4 linked regions of the Oryctolagus cuniculus genome follow. The protein of the gene in region 1 interacts with the protein of each later gene in a pairwise test. Links are inferred from orthologs where the notes say so. Each region holds a gene or a part of one and is shown in the gene's direction. Other genes may lie near its edges.

The links. The genes of interacting proteins can lie anywhere in the genome.
Region 2: the proteins of STK16 (region 1) and keratin-associated protein 13-1 interact in a two-hybrid assay, tested with the Homo sapiens proteins (2 studies listed by BioGRID). The two-hybrid records come from large-scale screens. The link is inferred for Oryctolagus cuniculus from reciprocal best matches to the Homo sapiens genes STK16 and KRTAP13-1.
Region 3: the proteins of STK16 (region 1) and SAXO1 interact in binary tests that used the Homo sapiens proteins (3 or more experiments, as listed by UniProt). The two-hybrid records come from large-scale screens. The link is inferred for Oryctolagus cuniculus from reciprocal best matches to the Homo sapiens genes STK16 and SAXO1.
Region 4: the proteins of STK16 (region 1) and TRIM42 interact in binary tests that used the Homo sapiens proteins (3 or more experiments, as listed by UniProt). The two-hybrid records come from large-scale screens. The link is inferred for Oryctolagus cuniculus from reciprocal best matches to the Homo sapiens genes STK16 and TRIM42.

What each region holds. Positions count from the first base shown.
Region 1 is NC_091434.1:20,221,877-20,225,819, reverse strand, and holds the start of STK16 (serine/threonine-protein kinase 16), read left to right. Parts: upstream 1-1,143; 5' UTR 1,144-1,279; exon of another isoform or gene 1,280-1,542; intron 1,543-1,637; 5' UTR 1,638-1,741; coding exon 1,742-1,827; intron 1,828-2,362; coding exon 2,363-2,582; intron 2,583-2,837; coding exon 2,838-2,971; intron 2,972-3,128; coding exon 3,129-3,249; intron 3,250-3,372; coding exon 3,373-3,468; intron 3,469-3,826; coding exon 3,827-3,943. UniProt on the Homo sapiens protein: Membrane-associated protein kinase that phosphorylates on serine and threonine residues. In vitro substrates include DRG1, ENO1 and EIF4EBP1. Also autophosphorylates. May be involved in secretory vesicle trafficking or intracellular signaling.
Region 2 is NC_091435.1:14,994,611-14,997,370, reverse strand, and holds keratin-associated protein 13-1, read left to right. Parts: upstream 1-1,377; 5' UTR 1,378-1,406; coding exon 1,407-1,958; 3' UTR 1,959-2,259; downstream 2,260-2,760. UniProt on the Homo sapiens protein: In the hair cortex, hair keratin intermediate filaments are embedded in an interfilamentous matrix, consisting of hair keratin-associated proteins (KRTAP), which are essential for the formation of a rigid and resistant hair shaft through their extensive disulfide bond cross-linking with abundant cysteine residues of hair keratins.
Region 3 is NC_091432.1:182,004,869-182,009,178, reverse strand, and holds the start of SAXO1 (stabilizer of axonemal microtubules 1), read left to right. Parts: upstream 1-1,509; 5' UTR 1,510-1,805; coding exon 1,806-1,852; intron 1,853-4,310. UniProt on the Homo sapiens protein: May play a role in the regulation of cilium length. Stabilizes microtubules at low temperature.
Region 4 is NC_091435.1:141,105,259-141,109,394, reverse strand, and holds the start of TRIM42 (tripartite motif-containing protein 42), read left to right. Parts: upstream 1-1,335; 5' UTR 1,336-1,524; coding exon 1,525-1,865; intron 1,866-4,136.

The sequences.
Region 1 (3,943 bases):
GCCACTCTACTAATGTATAACAGTCCTCTACATCTGGCTACTCAAAGCGCAGCCGCGAACCAGCTCCATCAGCGTCACCAGAGAGCCCGTTAGACACGCGGAATCTCAGGTCCTACCTCAAACCTATAGCATCAGAATTTGTATTTTAGCAAGATTCCCAGGGACACTCACAAGAAGCACTGCGCTACTGAGACTGAGCTCCCTGAAGGTGAGGAGTGCTTTGTCCATCTGGGACCCCCAGCTTCAAGCACAGGGCCTGACACAGAGCAGGTTAAATCTACATGACAGAATGTCAGAACACGCAGGAAAACAGGGTCAGTACCAAGGGAAACCATAGGAAAATCTTCATGGTGATCAGAGCTATGGCAGGGGGAAACCAGGTCACAAGTTGAACCCTTCTCCTGGAGAGCCCATCCTGGCCATCCCATCCTCTCTGGAAGTGTGCGCCCTCTCCAGCTTATCCTTGCCCATTTAGGCAAGAGATGTCAGTGACAACTGCTTGATGCCAAGGCTGAATTTGGGGATTTCCAACCCTCCTGCCCTCATAGTCCCAAGCCTGGGATGTGAGGAGCGGAGTAGTAGTAACTATCATTCCTGTTGCGAGACACTTACTGAGGGTTATGTAACACTGTTACCGTTCCCACTTTACAGATGAACAAACTAAAGGACAGACATGTCAGGTAGACTGCCTGAGCTCCCACAACTAGTTTAGTCTAGCTGGGATTTGAATTAGCCTCGCAGTTCATGCACTAAATATTAGGCACTATTACATGTATTTTTACAGCTACAGAAAACTAGGATCCAACAGGCTAATTGGTCGAGGTCACACAGCAGGTAGGTTACTAAGACCCCCTGTCTAGAAACTGGCAGTGAGGTTCGTGAGCAGGGCTTGGAAGGTCACCGGCCCCTCCCGGGGCCGCCCTCAGGGATGGGCCATAGTTGGGCGCATTCTGGACCCAGCGCACGGGAGGTATGAGGCCTCCTACCTCGGACATTGGGAGATAGAGGTCCTGGGGGCCTCGGGCCGAGCCCGGCTTTGCTCCCCCCTTGGCGCAGACGCCTGCGTCTTGACCCCTACTGAAGGCCAGGTAGGGAACCTTCACCCGGGTCCCGCGACCCGTGCACCTGCAGGCCTAGCCCGCCCCCGGCCTCTCGGTTCCGCGCCCCCACATCGTCGGGATGCCCAGCGGTTGCTAGGATACCGCGGGCCGTTACGCCGGCGCGGACTGATGACGTAGACGCCGCTTCCGGCTTCTGGCTGAGTTCCCTCCCGGGCCAGGTCAGTGGGACGTCCGAGCTGATCGATCCCGGGCTCCGCGCTCTGAGGTTGGGGGTGGGTTCTGCAAGAGGTGGGCCGGAGGCTCGCACCTCCTCGGGAACTACTCTATGCCCGCCCTCCTTTGGGGACCGACGGGCGTGGGAAAGGGCCCGCCCAAAGGTGGACTGGGGTTGGAGGAAGTGGCCTGGGGCTTTAAGGCACCTGACTGCGGCCTTTTTGGAGCTGGCGTTGTCAGGACCCTTTTTCCCTACACGGAGATCCAGGTTCCGAGACCTGAGCCTAAGCTCTCCGCGCTGGTCCTTCAGGGGTCGTGAGGATTGTGCCGGACCCGCGACTCTGCCGTTTGTTTTCCTTCCAGCATGAGCCACTGGGCCCGCGGCGCCTCGCCCGGAAGAGCCCACTCACCCTGGACCAGTCCCCCGGCAGCTGCAGCCCGTCCTTGAGGAGGATGTTTGAGACATTATGGGCCACGCGCTTTGTGTCTGCTCTCGGGGAACGGTCATCATTGACAATAAGCGTTACCTCTTCATCCAGAAACTGGGGGAGGGGTGAGTGTTTGGAAATCACCTAATCCCCAGGGTTATGGTCGTGGAGGACCGGCGTTCTGCACGGGACAGAGGCAGAAGGGTTTTATCCCTAACCTCTGGGTCACCTGATGGCATCTAGGTGCCTGGTAGTCCAGAGAGTGGGTTCTGGAGCCCCGCCTCCTAGAGCCACATCCGCTTGTCCTTGATAAGCCATTGATTTCTTCCTCCACTAAATGGAGATGCTTATCCCGCCTCACTGATGGCGTTGTGAGGAGTAAATGAGGTCATGGGTTTAGACCGCCCCACACAGTGCATGGTTCATAAGCACCTGATACAGGTGCACAGCGCTGTGTTATGCCCACGTCCACCTCCCCGGTCTCCCTGTGCCTGCTTTGGGGGAGCTCAAGGTGTAACAACCTTCAGCCTTCTCTTAGAGCCGCATCTTGGGAGGGTTTTTACTGAATGGGAGAGACACTGCCGTCTCCCAGAAAAGTCCTCTGAATCCAAGCCCTGTGGGAGATGACCGTGGCCCTTCACTGACCCCTTTGGCCCACAGTGGGTTCAGCTATGTGGACCTAGTGGAGGGGTTACATGATGGACACTTCTACGCCCTGAAGCGAATCCTGTGTCATGAGCAGCAGGACCGAGAGGACGCGCAGCGGGAAGCAGACATGCATCGCCTCTTCCATCACCCCAACATCCTGCGCCTCGTCGCTTACTGCCTGAGGGAGCGAGATGCTAAGCACGAGGCCTGGCTGCTGCTGCCCTTCTTTAAGGTCAGAAATGCTCCTGGCGTGGAGAGGGTTGCCACAGAGCCACCCGCCAGGGGCTGTGTGAGCAGTCAAACGAGCCGGCCAGCGGGGGTCCTGGCCGCTTCAGACTTGAGCTTTAGAGGAGCCCATGTGGGAGTGGGGGGTTTGAGGTCTAGGTGATCGGAGGAGGGCAGATGGGCATTGACGTAGGCACACGATCAGGCCCAGAGACCAGAGGCTCCGGCACCGTCTCCAGCTGTGGGGAAACTCTTGTTGCAGAGAGGGACGCTGTGGGCTGAGATAGAAAGGCTCAAGGACAAGGGCAACTTCCTGACTGAGGATGAAATCCTGCGGCTGCTGCTGGGCATCTGCAGAGGCCTGGAGGCCATTCATGCCAAGGGCTATGCCCACAGGTCAGTGGGAGGGCCCTGTGTGCTCAGGGGGCCCAGGAGCAAGAACCTCACCAAGAGAAAGGGGAGGGCTCTGGGCTCTGCTCTTCTCCCTGTGATCAGCCCCCCGCCCCCCCCCCCCCAGGATTCCAGCTTACATGTCCTTTCTATTTCTCTGCAGGGACCTGAAACCCACCAACATCTTGCTTGGCGATGAGGGACAGCCAGTGTTAATGGATTTGGGTTCCATGAATCAAGCATGCATCCATGTGGAGGGCTCCCGCCAGGCCCTGACCCTGCAAGTAAGAGCCTCGGGTTCCTTTGCCCACCTGTTCCGCACCCTGACCCCTTCTGTTACGTGCCCCAGTTCGGTCACTTGACCCTGGCCTGTGCCCTGCTTTTGAGCTCTGAGGCCACCGTTCTAGGACTGGGCAGCCCAGCGGTGCACCATCTCCTACCGGGCCCCGGAGCTCTTCTCCGTGCAGAGTCACTGTGTTATTGACGAGCGGACTGATGTCTGGGTGAGGAGCATGTGGGCGGGAATCTGCGTGGGGAGGGGCGTGGCTCGGAGGTGCTGTCAGGCAGAGAAGTAGGTCTTTGGTTTCTGTTGCAAGGGGCCCCGGGAACCGCAGCTTGTTGCCATCTCTCTCAACTTCCTTCCTGCAAACTGTCACTGATACTGAAGGAAGTGGTCTCCCTCCCATGAAGTGAGGGCTGCAGAGGTGCCCAGCTCTCTGGGGGTTTCTCTGGGCCCTGGGAGCTCTGTGTGGCTCAGGTTGGCCTATTCTGTTTGGCTTGTGTGGTCTCCTTTCCCCTCAAAAGAAAGGGAAAAGATGCCATCCCCTTTGATCTTTCAGGGACTAACCAAGTTACGTTCAGTCCCTAGGCTGTGTGCTCTATGCCATGATGTTTGGGGAAGGCCCTTATGACATGGTGTTCCAGAAGGGTGACAGCGTGGCCCTGGCTGTGCAGAACCAACTCAGCATCCCGCAGAGC
Region 2 (2,760 bases), on another chromosome or scaffold:
TTCTGTCTGTCAATATATATATATATATATATATATGGAGGAAAAATTGGAAGATGAGATGTCCTTGGAAATTTTCAGATATCTTTCAAAATTTTGATGTGAGAGTTTATAGATGTTTATAGGGAGGGTAACCATAGGACATTTTACAAAATAAATGCCAAGAATTAGATCCATTTTGAAAAAAATATTCATTAATTTTCTGTTGCTATAACCAACTGTGTGAAGTAACTGATTTGTGAAGAAAATAGGTTTATTTAACTCACAGTTCTGGAAACCCAGGAGCATGGTACCAGCTTCCGCTTGATTCTGGTAACTGTCTCATGGCATCATGCAGAGTGTGTGTGAGTGACCACACGAGGGGCAGAGAATCAGAGACGGGAAAGGAGCCAGTCTTGCTCTTTTTATAACACTTTACTTTCATGAGAACTAATCAGGGTCCTACAAGAACTTCCAAAGACAGCACCCGCAATGATCTTCCACTAGCACACCCTTATCAACGTTTCCTCCACCTCCCAACTGCTGCACTGGAGATGGAGCTTCCAGCGCAAGAACCCCTGGGGAGCATTCTCAAACCATATTAAACCAGAGAAAACAGTTTTGAAGACTTAAATGAGGTTGGACCATCCATCCCCAGGGTTTGGGCTCAGGAAAATCCTGCCTTTCCCTCTGCTATTGCTCCTTGTTTCCTATCTCATCTAAATCACATCTACTACATTTTTTCCCTATGCTTACATCCATATCATTCTCTTTTTTGTTTTCACATCATTTTTCTGAATAGTAAATTTGTTCTATATGTTTGTGCAAGATGCTGTTCATTCCTGGTCATCTCTCAATTCCTTTGCCTTGGTTTTATGTGGCATATCTAGACTAAACATAGTAAACACTGATGATAAGTAACAGATGGAAATTATATTGGAGGATTTGAAACAACGCTTTGATGGTGAGGGAGTCTTTAAAAGGTTCCTTATTAAGACCAGATTTCTTCCTCTCAGTCAAGGACCAAGAGGGAGATGGCTGCTTTACAGTCCTCACCCTAGGAAGAAAGAATTCTCCAGCCCAAACAGGAGCAGATTTACATGTCATAGCCTGGGAAAAAACAGGGGCTTTCCTGGCTGTGATGGAGTAGACACTAATTACATACAGTCATAGCATTTATAGCATAAGTGTATTTCACTGACACAGAGCTGTAAAAACAAAAGGAGTTCACCCATAAATACAACATGAAGGGTGTTAGTTTGCTGCAATTACAAAGAAGTTTTACTGAGTGACGTATATGCAAATGAGGGAGTCTAACTATGGAAAAGATGACATTGTAAGTAAAGGGCCACACCCATTGCTGAGAGCATATAAATGTCCCAGTGACAAGTGACATCCAAACTCAGAACCTTCTCCCACCTCCAGTCACCATGCCCTACAACTGCTGCTCTGGAAACTCCTTCTCTCAGTCCTTTGGGGGCTACCTGCGCTACCCAAGGTCTTCCTGTGGCTCTTCCTACCCAAACAACTCGTTCTACAGTGCAGGACTCCAATGTCCCAGCACATGTCAGCCGGGCTCCTCTTTGTACAGTGGCTGTCAGGAGCCTGGCTGTGAGCCCACCAGCTGCCAGACTTCCTATGTGGTGTCCAGCCCCTGCCAGACGTCCTGCTACCGCCGGAGGACCTCCACACTCTGCAATCCCTGCAGGACAATTTACACGGGGTCTCAGGGCTTTGGATCCAGCAGCTGCAACTCCCTGGGCTGTGGATCTAGAAGCTCCTATTCCCTGAGCTGTGGACCAAGGAGCTGCCACTCCTCAGGCTGCGGATCCAGTGGTTTCAGACCCCTGGGTTATAGAGTCCATGGCTTTCCTTCACTGGGTTATGGATCTGGGTTCTGCCGCCCATCCTGCTCAGCCTCTAGGACCTGCCAGTCTTCTTGTTTCCAGCCAACCTGTTGGTCTGGATCCGGCGTCTGTTGATCATCTTATTAAGTTTCTAACGCCATTGACCAATGTCTTTAATGCCTCTATTAATAATTGTTATAGTCTTCCTATTTAGCTTCCTATTTTCTGATTATCAGTTTCTCACCCTGTCTCTGGCATCAAATCCTGGCTGACAGACTTCATCTGAAAATCTGTAATTTGTGTACTAACTCAAAATAAAGTCTAAAGTCTTCATTGGAGATAAAATTTATGTTATAGGATAACTACTCATTATTGTTTGAAAAAACAAATTTTTACTCAATAAATGCATTGATTCTGATTTAAATCTATATTAGATTTGTTTCATTATTTATTTGGTTCTAAAATATTAAAGAAATCATTATGAAATTATCAATGTATCTATACAGATTGGTTTTGAAAATCAATGAGGTGAGGGGCCAGCACTGTGGCATAGTGGGTAAAGCTGCCACCTGCAGGGCAGGCATCCCATATGGACGCCGGTTTGAGTCCCAGTTGCTCCACTTCCGATCCAGCTCTCTGCTATGGCCTGGGAAAGCTGGAGAAGATGGCCCAAATCCTTGGGCCCCTGCTCCCATGTGGGAGAGCTGGAAGAATCTCCTGGCTCCTGGCTTAGGATCGGCTCAGCTCCAACCATTGTGGCCATTTGGGGAGTGAACCAGCAGAGGAAGACCTATCTCTCTCTTCCTCTGCCTCTCTGTAACTCTGCCTTTCAAATAAATAAAGAAATCTTTAAAAAAAAATCAATGAGGTGAGTAAACTGACCAAACTTTTGGAGGCCTCAGATATTTTTATTACTCAAACTACAGGTAGGGGTTGA
Region 3 (4,310 bases), on another chromosome or scaffold:
ACTGTACTACAGTTAAAAAAATCTAGTTACCATTAGCACAGTTCATATGTAATTCACTCTCTTCGATTCTTTCTCCATCCTTGTCAGCTTTCCAATCAGCACAGTTTCACCTTCTCCAGCATAATCTTCCCTCTTCCACAACACTGAGAAACATTACATTTTGATGTCTGAATAGGTACATAGTCGGTAGCTTTATTTTGTAACTAATGTCTTAAATAGCGCTGGTCCTGGGTAGCTGAAGGGATGAAATGTGTTTCTAAAACATGCAACATTGTCTGATATTTCAAGTGTTTAAAAATCACACACATCAGTAATGCAGCCAACTGAATACCAAGTATCACAGCCATTCCCCCAGAATGTCCAACAAGCAGGCCTTGTACTGTGAAGAACAAAGGGTCTGGTCCGAGCCGTGGAAAAGGCACGATTCACTTGCCTTAAGGAAAAGCGCATTTTCTCCTTCAGGCCACGGAGAGCTGCCGAGAGCAGGCCACAGGATCTCCCTGACTCACACTAGCAGGAGCAAGGTTGGGTAATTCTCAAATTAGGGCTCACATACCGTCCTTTAAGCCATCCTAAAAAAGCCTCTTTTATAAAATCTCATGTTAGGAAATCACGTATCTATCAACAGGGAAGAATTGACCATCAAAGCATTCCTAACTGAAGCAAGAAGACAGCCAAAAGTGTTAACAACAGAGCTGTAAAAGTATCTTACATCCTGGAGGGAAAAAGTGTCAAACTTGCTTTCTAAGCGGTGTTTCCTTCCTTCCCATGGTTCTCAGGGCCAGGCAAGTGGAAGCAACACTGTCGTTGGGGGAAGGCTGCTGGGAGAGGGCCAAAGAATCTCTAGAACCATGGTTCTTGAGTGTGGTCCCTGGCAAGCAGCATCAGCAAGAGGACTTGTAAGGAATGCCCATTCTCAGCCCACTCCAGACCTGCCCGGCGCGGAGCCCCCAGCAGCTGGTTTTTAATCAAGCCGGGTGGTTCTGATGCCCACTAAACTCTCAGATGCGCTGCTCCAAGGCATCATTACCTACACCTGGAGAAGGGATTGAGCACCCACGTGAGCCGTGAAAGCCTGCGCTCATAAAGGGCCTCGTCCTCCAGCGCTCAGAACTGTGGGGAACGGCGGCTTTGACCCCTGAGGCTAGAGAGTGGGTTTCCACAGGAAGATCTGGAAACGGTACTCAGGGCTCGGCCTTCTGGAGGTCAAGGGGTGCACTTCCATCGGCGGGGCACCCGTGGATCCTAGAAGTAGAAAACGCCACTCCACACGCCGCAGGAGAGTTTTCGGCCTCTTAGGACAATTGACCGTGGCGTTTGCGCATGGCAGCACCCAGCAGCTTTCCCTCCAATGTTTCTCCAGCTTTCCCCAAAGTCCGCTGGGGAGACTGTGTCCTGGGCCCCCCAAGGGAGGTGCCGGGAGCTTCCCGACCTCACAAGCGGTGTTTGTGATGTCACCACCATCTCAAGGCGTGCTCCTCCTGGCTTTGGTGATGTCATAGAGGACCCGTGATCCCGGGCCCTGGGGCTTCCAGGGGCTGGGGAGGCCGCACCAGGCTAGTGGGACCGGGCGGTGTGCAGGGAGAGGCCCCCCCAGGCTCCGTGCTGCTCCCTCGGCGCGCAAGGCCAGCTCCGGGAAGGGAACGGAGGACAAGACTTTACAAGAGGGCCACTTGGTTTTCTTTCGTGTGAATGTTCAGAATCTCTGCCAAGGCCCTTGAGATTTAGCGTGCTCCCTCCTGGGCTGTTGGGGTCTACAAGCAGCTGCCGCTGGGGGTGCTCTGAGGGGACATCAGGGCCTCAGGATGGCCCCTGTGAAGAGGAAGTGCATCTGCGACCTGTGCTCTTGCGGGTAAGGAGGCTGCGCCCAGCGCAAGGCTGGGGAAGCCTGGCTTTTCCGACTCCGGAGCCAGGCAGGGCGTTTCCCACAAAGCGGGGCTGGGGCCTCAGCCTGCGGCTTAGCTAGGAGCGCAGGTGGACTCACCCACCTGTCGCTGTTGTCAGCTTGCAGCGCCTGCAGCCAGCACTTCATGTGCTGGGCTTGAATTGAAGCAGGTGAATGGAGCTGTTCCCAGGGCTTTCCTTGTGTCAGAGCTGCAGGAAGGTTGAAAGTGGGCCCAGCCCTGGCACAGCTTGTATCTCTTCCTTGCAGCCCAGAGAGTGTCATGGACCGAAAACACAGGCCAGCTTTGCTTCTTTTGTGCTAGGGTGCTTCTTTAAGGACCCAGGTTGGGAAGATAATTTCTTTAAAAAAATTTTAAAGTGACTTTTACTTTATTAACTTATTTGAAGGTTAGAATTACAGAGACAAGGAGAGCCAGAGACCGAGATCTTGCATCTGCTGATTCATTCCCCAAATGACGACAACCACCTGGGCTGAGCCAGGCCAAAGTCAGGAGTTTAACCTGGTTCTCCCACGTGGGCAGCAGGGGCCCAGGCACAGTGTTTGGGATAGAAATGTGTAAGACAGTGCTTCCATCTTTGCACAGATGGGATGGCAGGAAAGCTCATGAAGAGGGTACACAGTGAGACATCTCCTCTTGCCCCCGGCAGGCGCCTGACTTACCTGGATGCCCCTTCTCTGCCTCTATTCCCTTCTGTTCCTGCAAAAATTCTCTCAGACGTGGAGACTGTCCTGGAGTGTGTTCTCCTTTCCTTCTCCCCCTCTTGGTTTCAATCGGGAGTCTCCGGTTTGGACCTCACATCCCAGCCTTTTCTGTTCTTCGATTTCAGTCTCCGTGCTTGTTGATGCGTCTGGCTGCCTCGTGACCCTCCGCTTGGAGCCGTCTCCCACTAGCTGCCCCTCGCATGTGAACCATCATTTAACTGTTTCCAGAGTCTGGTCCTTTCCTCTTCGCGATCTTTCTTAGAATGGTTCTTTGCCTGGCTCTTTTTTGTTAGGTTTGGAAACTGCCCCTAACACCTTGCTAGCTTTACCCACTGTGATTTCTTTGCTTGGAACCACTCTTCCAGCTGGCTTTGGGTCTTCTGATTGGCCCTCCCTGTTCCTTACCATCGCCCTTCCTTTCTCCCAATTGCCTACGTCCCTCTTCCTGCTGCCCGACCTTTAAGGCCCTGTTTCTATTGCAAGGTTCCCATTAGCCCAGCTCTGTAGGGCCCTGTCAAAGAGACCCTGCTCTGTGTTACTTGTTTCTGATTGTGCCTGCCTGCTTCACAGCTCCCATGGACTGTGTACTCTGGGAAAGCAGAAACCATGATTTCCAACTGTGTGTTTTTAATACTGAAACATTTCTCTCCATATAGCTATCAAAATATCTTTTTGAACGAATGTTTTTTGCTTGTTAAGGTTAGTAACATGCCAACAATGGATTAGAGATACAAGACTTGGAGTTGTGCTATCTAGTAGAGTAACCACATGTAGCAATTTCATGTCGATGTCGATGAATTAAAAGGAAATACAATCATAACTTGTTATAATTGTACTAGCTTATTTCAAGTATCAGTAACCAGATGAGTCTGGTCTCCCACGTGGTTGGCAGGGACTCAAGTACTTGAATCATCATTGCTGCTGCTGGGATCTGAATTTCAAGGAGCTGGAGTTGGGAGCCAGAGATGAATATCAAATCCAGGCATTCTGATATGGAATACTTTTTTAAAATTTTTTTATTAATTTGAAAGAGCTACACAAAGGGGGAAAGAGAGGGAGAGACTGATTCTTTCATCCCCAGATGGCCACAATGGCCAGGGCTGGACCAGGTAGGAGCCGGAGCTTTTCCCAAGTGGGTAGCAGGGGCTGGGATCTTGGGCCATCTTCTGCTTTTCCTAGGCCATTAGCAGGGAGCTGGATTAGAAGTGGAGCAGCTGGGACTTGAGCCAATGCCCACATGGGATGGAAGAGTTGGAGGCAGCGGCTTTACCTGCTACACCACAGTGCCTGGGACATGTTTTCTTAACTGACATGCAAAGCACTAGGCCAAATACCTGCCCCCCTCCCCCTTTTTAAAAGATTTTGTGAGAGGTAGTTATAGATAGTGAGAGGGAGAGACAGAGAAAGGCCTTCCTTCTGCTGGTTCACTCCCCAATTGGCCACAAAGGCCAGAGCTGCGCCGATCCAAAGCCAGGAGCCAGGAGCTGCTTCTGGGTCTCCCAAGTGAGTGCAGGGGCCCAAGGACTTGGGACATCCTTCATTGCTTTTTCAGGCCATAGCAGAGAGCTGGATAGGAAGAAGAGCAGCCAGGACTAGAACCAGCGCCCTATGGGATGCCAGCTCCACAGGTGGAGGATTAACCTACTGCGCCACAGCGCCAGCCCCCCTCCCCCTCATTTTTTACAACTGGTGATTTGTGGAG
Region 4 (4,136 bases), on another chromosome or scaffold:
AGTGTCTTTTGGGGTGATGAAAATGTTTTGGAATTAGGTCTTGGTGACAGCTGCACAGTTTTATGATTATACTGAAAACTATTCAATTGTTCATGGTAAATTTAATGGTAAGTGAATTGTAATGTCAATAACAATTTCTAAAAAGAGGGGACTTCACAGAGACCAGTAATGAAAATATACCATGAACCCAAGAATGGCATTTGGACCTCTGGGCCTGGAGCCTAGGGAGAAAGGCAGATAAAATTGAGTTTGAGCAAATGTGTGGGAAAGATGTCTCTCATCCATTACTGGTGTCAGTATGAACTGGCACATTTATTTGAGTAGGCAATTTAGTGGCATCTATCAAAAAAGATAAAGCACATACCCTATGATCCAGCCCTCTCATTTCTAGAAACTTAAAATCGGTGTGTGGCTGGCACCATTAGCACTCAGTAAACGTTCTTTCCTATTATGAAGACGATCATCATGGGGAGAGATCATGGATTATGCAATCGGCTCGAGCAGCCAAACTCAGCCTTCAGTTCTTTTTGGAAAAGTAATACTGCAGCCTTCATACCGTCATGCGGCGTGGTCATGAACACTTTGCTCTTTTAACCTTTGCAAGCTGCATCAAGTGGAAACGAAATTCACCCCATTAGGGTCTTGTTTCCAGGTATCTGGAGCACACTGCTAGCACAAAAGTATAAAGCTCATGTAGCATTATAACTTCTTGATTAACAGGACCTAGAGGACTGATAGTAGGGTGGGGGAAAGGAAGTAAAGCCTAAGACTTGGTCAAACCCCTTGAAGCTGCAGAATTGGCAAAAAACATTCGGAGGTTTCTGCGAAGCCTCATGAAACAGACCAGTCATTATGCAGTGATGGGCAAGAGCAATGACTTTCAAAAGAAGCTCCTGAAGGAAGCGGTGTCTTCTGCTCCTTTAGTTCTTTCCACAAATGGTGACACCTCCTTCCGTGCTGTCCTCCTTGTTGCTATTTGTAAACACTGTAAGGAGTTCTATCATGCAGGAAAAACCCAGGAGAGGAAAATTATGTCCATCTACTTTTCCAATTAGTCATGCCAGGCTTCTCAGTCTGGGAAGACATTCCCTGAAATCAGCTTGCCCAAACTACGGGCAAACACCAAGCAAGAAGAAATAGCTTCTGAAATCTACCCCACAACCAGGAAGGGGACCAAGGACAGCTCCCCTGGAGCTGGTCCGACGGAGGCATGAGGGGAGTATCCATCAACTCACCTGCTAACCACTCCAGGCTTCACCTGCCAGCTCCACAGCGTGGTGAGACACTGCAAGGACCCAGTGATTGTGACATCAGCAAATGGCCTCATGCACGTGCTAACCCATGAGCTTCCTGGCAGGGACACCACTGGTGAGAGCCTCCTAACAGCCAACTTCTTGCAACTCTCAGGCTGACGGCCTCACTGGGTTGGGGGAGGAGGGACACCTCCACTGAGAACTGGCAGCAGGATTCTGGTAGAGGAGACACCAAGAGCCACGGTGGGGACGTGGTAATCATGTAGGGGCCATGGAGACTGCTATGTGCGTTTGCTCGCCATGTTGTACATGGCAAAGATGTTGTCCTCAGCTATGCTCCTGTCTGTGCTGCAAGTTCATCTTCACCTCGGAGAGGAACTGCACCTGCTTCCCCTGCCCATACAAGGATGAGCGGAACTGCCAGTTCTGCCACTGCACCTGCTCCGATAACCCCAACTGCCACTGGTGCTGCTGCTCCTGGGCCAATGATCCCAACTGCAAATGCTGCTGCACGACCAGCAGCAATCTCAAGTGCTACTACTATGAGAGCCGCTGCTGTCGCAATGCCACCATCACCTTCCGCAAGGGCCGTCTCAAGAGCATCCGCACCTCGTAAGTGAAAACTGGGAACTCAGTGCCAGCTGGGGGCCCACAGGGTGGGCTGGTAACCCCTGGGTTCATTTCTCTCTGTGGGAAAAGGAAGCCAGGAATTTTGTAGCAATTGAGTATATCCTCATATACTAACCATGTAGCAATTAAGTATATCCTAGTATACTAACCAGTATAGACTCTAACTTCCAAATTGAAAATCCATAAGGTGTGAATGCTTACAGCACTCTTCTGAACCACAACTCTCTCATGGGTGCAAAGTACTCAGAGCCAATACTCAGTGCTTAAGCAACTTGCCAGGCACTGCATGGGAGACCCTGGGGAACCCTCCTCTCCCTGAGCCCACTGGACCCAGCAACAGAGCCTTTGAGAGGTGAAGCCACCTGGGTTGACACAGCTAGCATGATGCAGAGTCAGGATTTGAACCCAGAAGCCATTATTTTAAATTTCAAGTGTTGTGTTGCAAAATGGAGAGGCCCTGTGAGGACTGATGTGAAATTCATGGACAGTAGAGTTCAGACATAAGTTGATTTGGGTGCAAAGTTGTTCATGATCCGCATTTTCCATGAATTTGTTGAGGGCTCTTTGCATGTGCTTTGTAACCTGATAGGTGACATAAAAATATAAATCGCTCTTCCCCCTGCTACTGTGAACTCTTGATATATGCAATGTTTCTTGGAAAAGTAAGAATTTCCAAGGACCAGTTTTGAGCCTGATGACCTGTATTCACCTGAGTGCCCCAGACACATCTGAACTCCCGTTGGCCTCCTCGACTTTCCCATGGAGAAGTCATGGTGCTTTGGGCCTCCAGGTGCTCACTGGGGGCATTAGTCATCCCCACTAAGCACTGTATAACCTCTTCCTACTCTACCGAGTCAGTCTTCTTCTGTCCCTGTGAGAGGAGCCTGGTAAGGACAGACTTACTCAGCACTGTGAGATGAGTGGACTAGGAGAGGCTGAACAATAGGAAGCAAGTCTGAAGGCCTTCAAGGCTGCATCAGCAATTCTACCAACAAAGGTTTGGTGGACTCAGGGCAAGAATGTAAGATCCATCTTGAGATTAGGTGCTTGGTAGGGGCGTAGGAAACATGAGTTTCCGTGCACGGCCCTCTCTGGTGCTTGCGGGAATCCAGGGACTCTAGTGGCAAGTCCAGAGGTTCCAAGGTGTGGAAAGCAGTGGCCACACCCCTCTCTCTGGACACGCCCGTTCTCCAAGCACCAGCCACGGAGAGCCACAGAGCCCATTCCAGGAGGGATGAAACTGCTGCTTTGGGAAAGTGGCTTTGGCATCAGTGGTTCCCAAATTTCTATGCATTTGCAATCATGCAGGGATCTTTAAAAATACCTAAGCCTGGTCCACTGCCTCCCCAAAACTCTGAATGTTATTGGCCTGGGGTACCACCTGGGCATCAGAATTGTATAAGGCCCATCCTGTTCAGGTGATTCCAATGTGCAGAATGGCCTGCGGGAGCAGGAAGGGAAGCTAGGAGACTTGCCAGGAGAGACAGTGAGAATCCAGGGGCAAGGGGACCAGGCCTGAACTGGGGAGAGTGAGGAGAAAGGACCAGAGGCAGATAGTTTAGCAGGAAGACCAGGCTGCTGGGCCTGGCAGCTGGGCATGGATCCCTGGCTACTGAACACCTTGTCCACACCTGAGGCTTCTGCAGGCTGGGCAGGGATGCACTTGACAGCTTCAGGAGGCATTGTGCCTGTCTTCTCCCTGGCCCCTCCCCTGGGTCCTGAAGCCCTGCCTCCCTGCTGCTCATCACCGCCTCCTGCTGAGCAGTTACAGCCACTCACCTCTCTCTGCTCTCGCCTGTCCCGCTCAGCCATACTCATTTCCTCACCTCCATTCCTACCGCTGCCACAGCTCCCTAGGCCATTGACACCTGTCTCTGAACCCTGTGCTCATTCTCTCTCCCTTCCCCCCCACCTCCCTCCATCTCCCTGATTTCTTTGGCTGACACCTGTCATAGTACGCCCTGGTTCTCAGAGTCCCATTTTTTTTAAATCAAACTCAAGAAGTCCATCCAGCCTCCATGTGTTATCCTTTACCACTCTTGATGACTCCAGGCAGGAGGCTAGGATGGCACAGTGGAACCAGCTGAGAACATCAAGGCTGGTGGGCTACAGCCCAGCATCCAAACCCTGAGAGGTGGGCCTTCCAGGCACCCGAGGGTGACTCCATCCCTGTGTGCCCAGGAGGCCCCTCTGAGAGCCTGGACTCTGAGGCCCAGGACCCCACCCAAGGGAGTGGGGATGGAGACAGGGCCA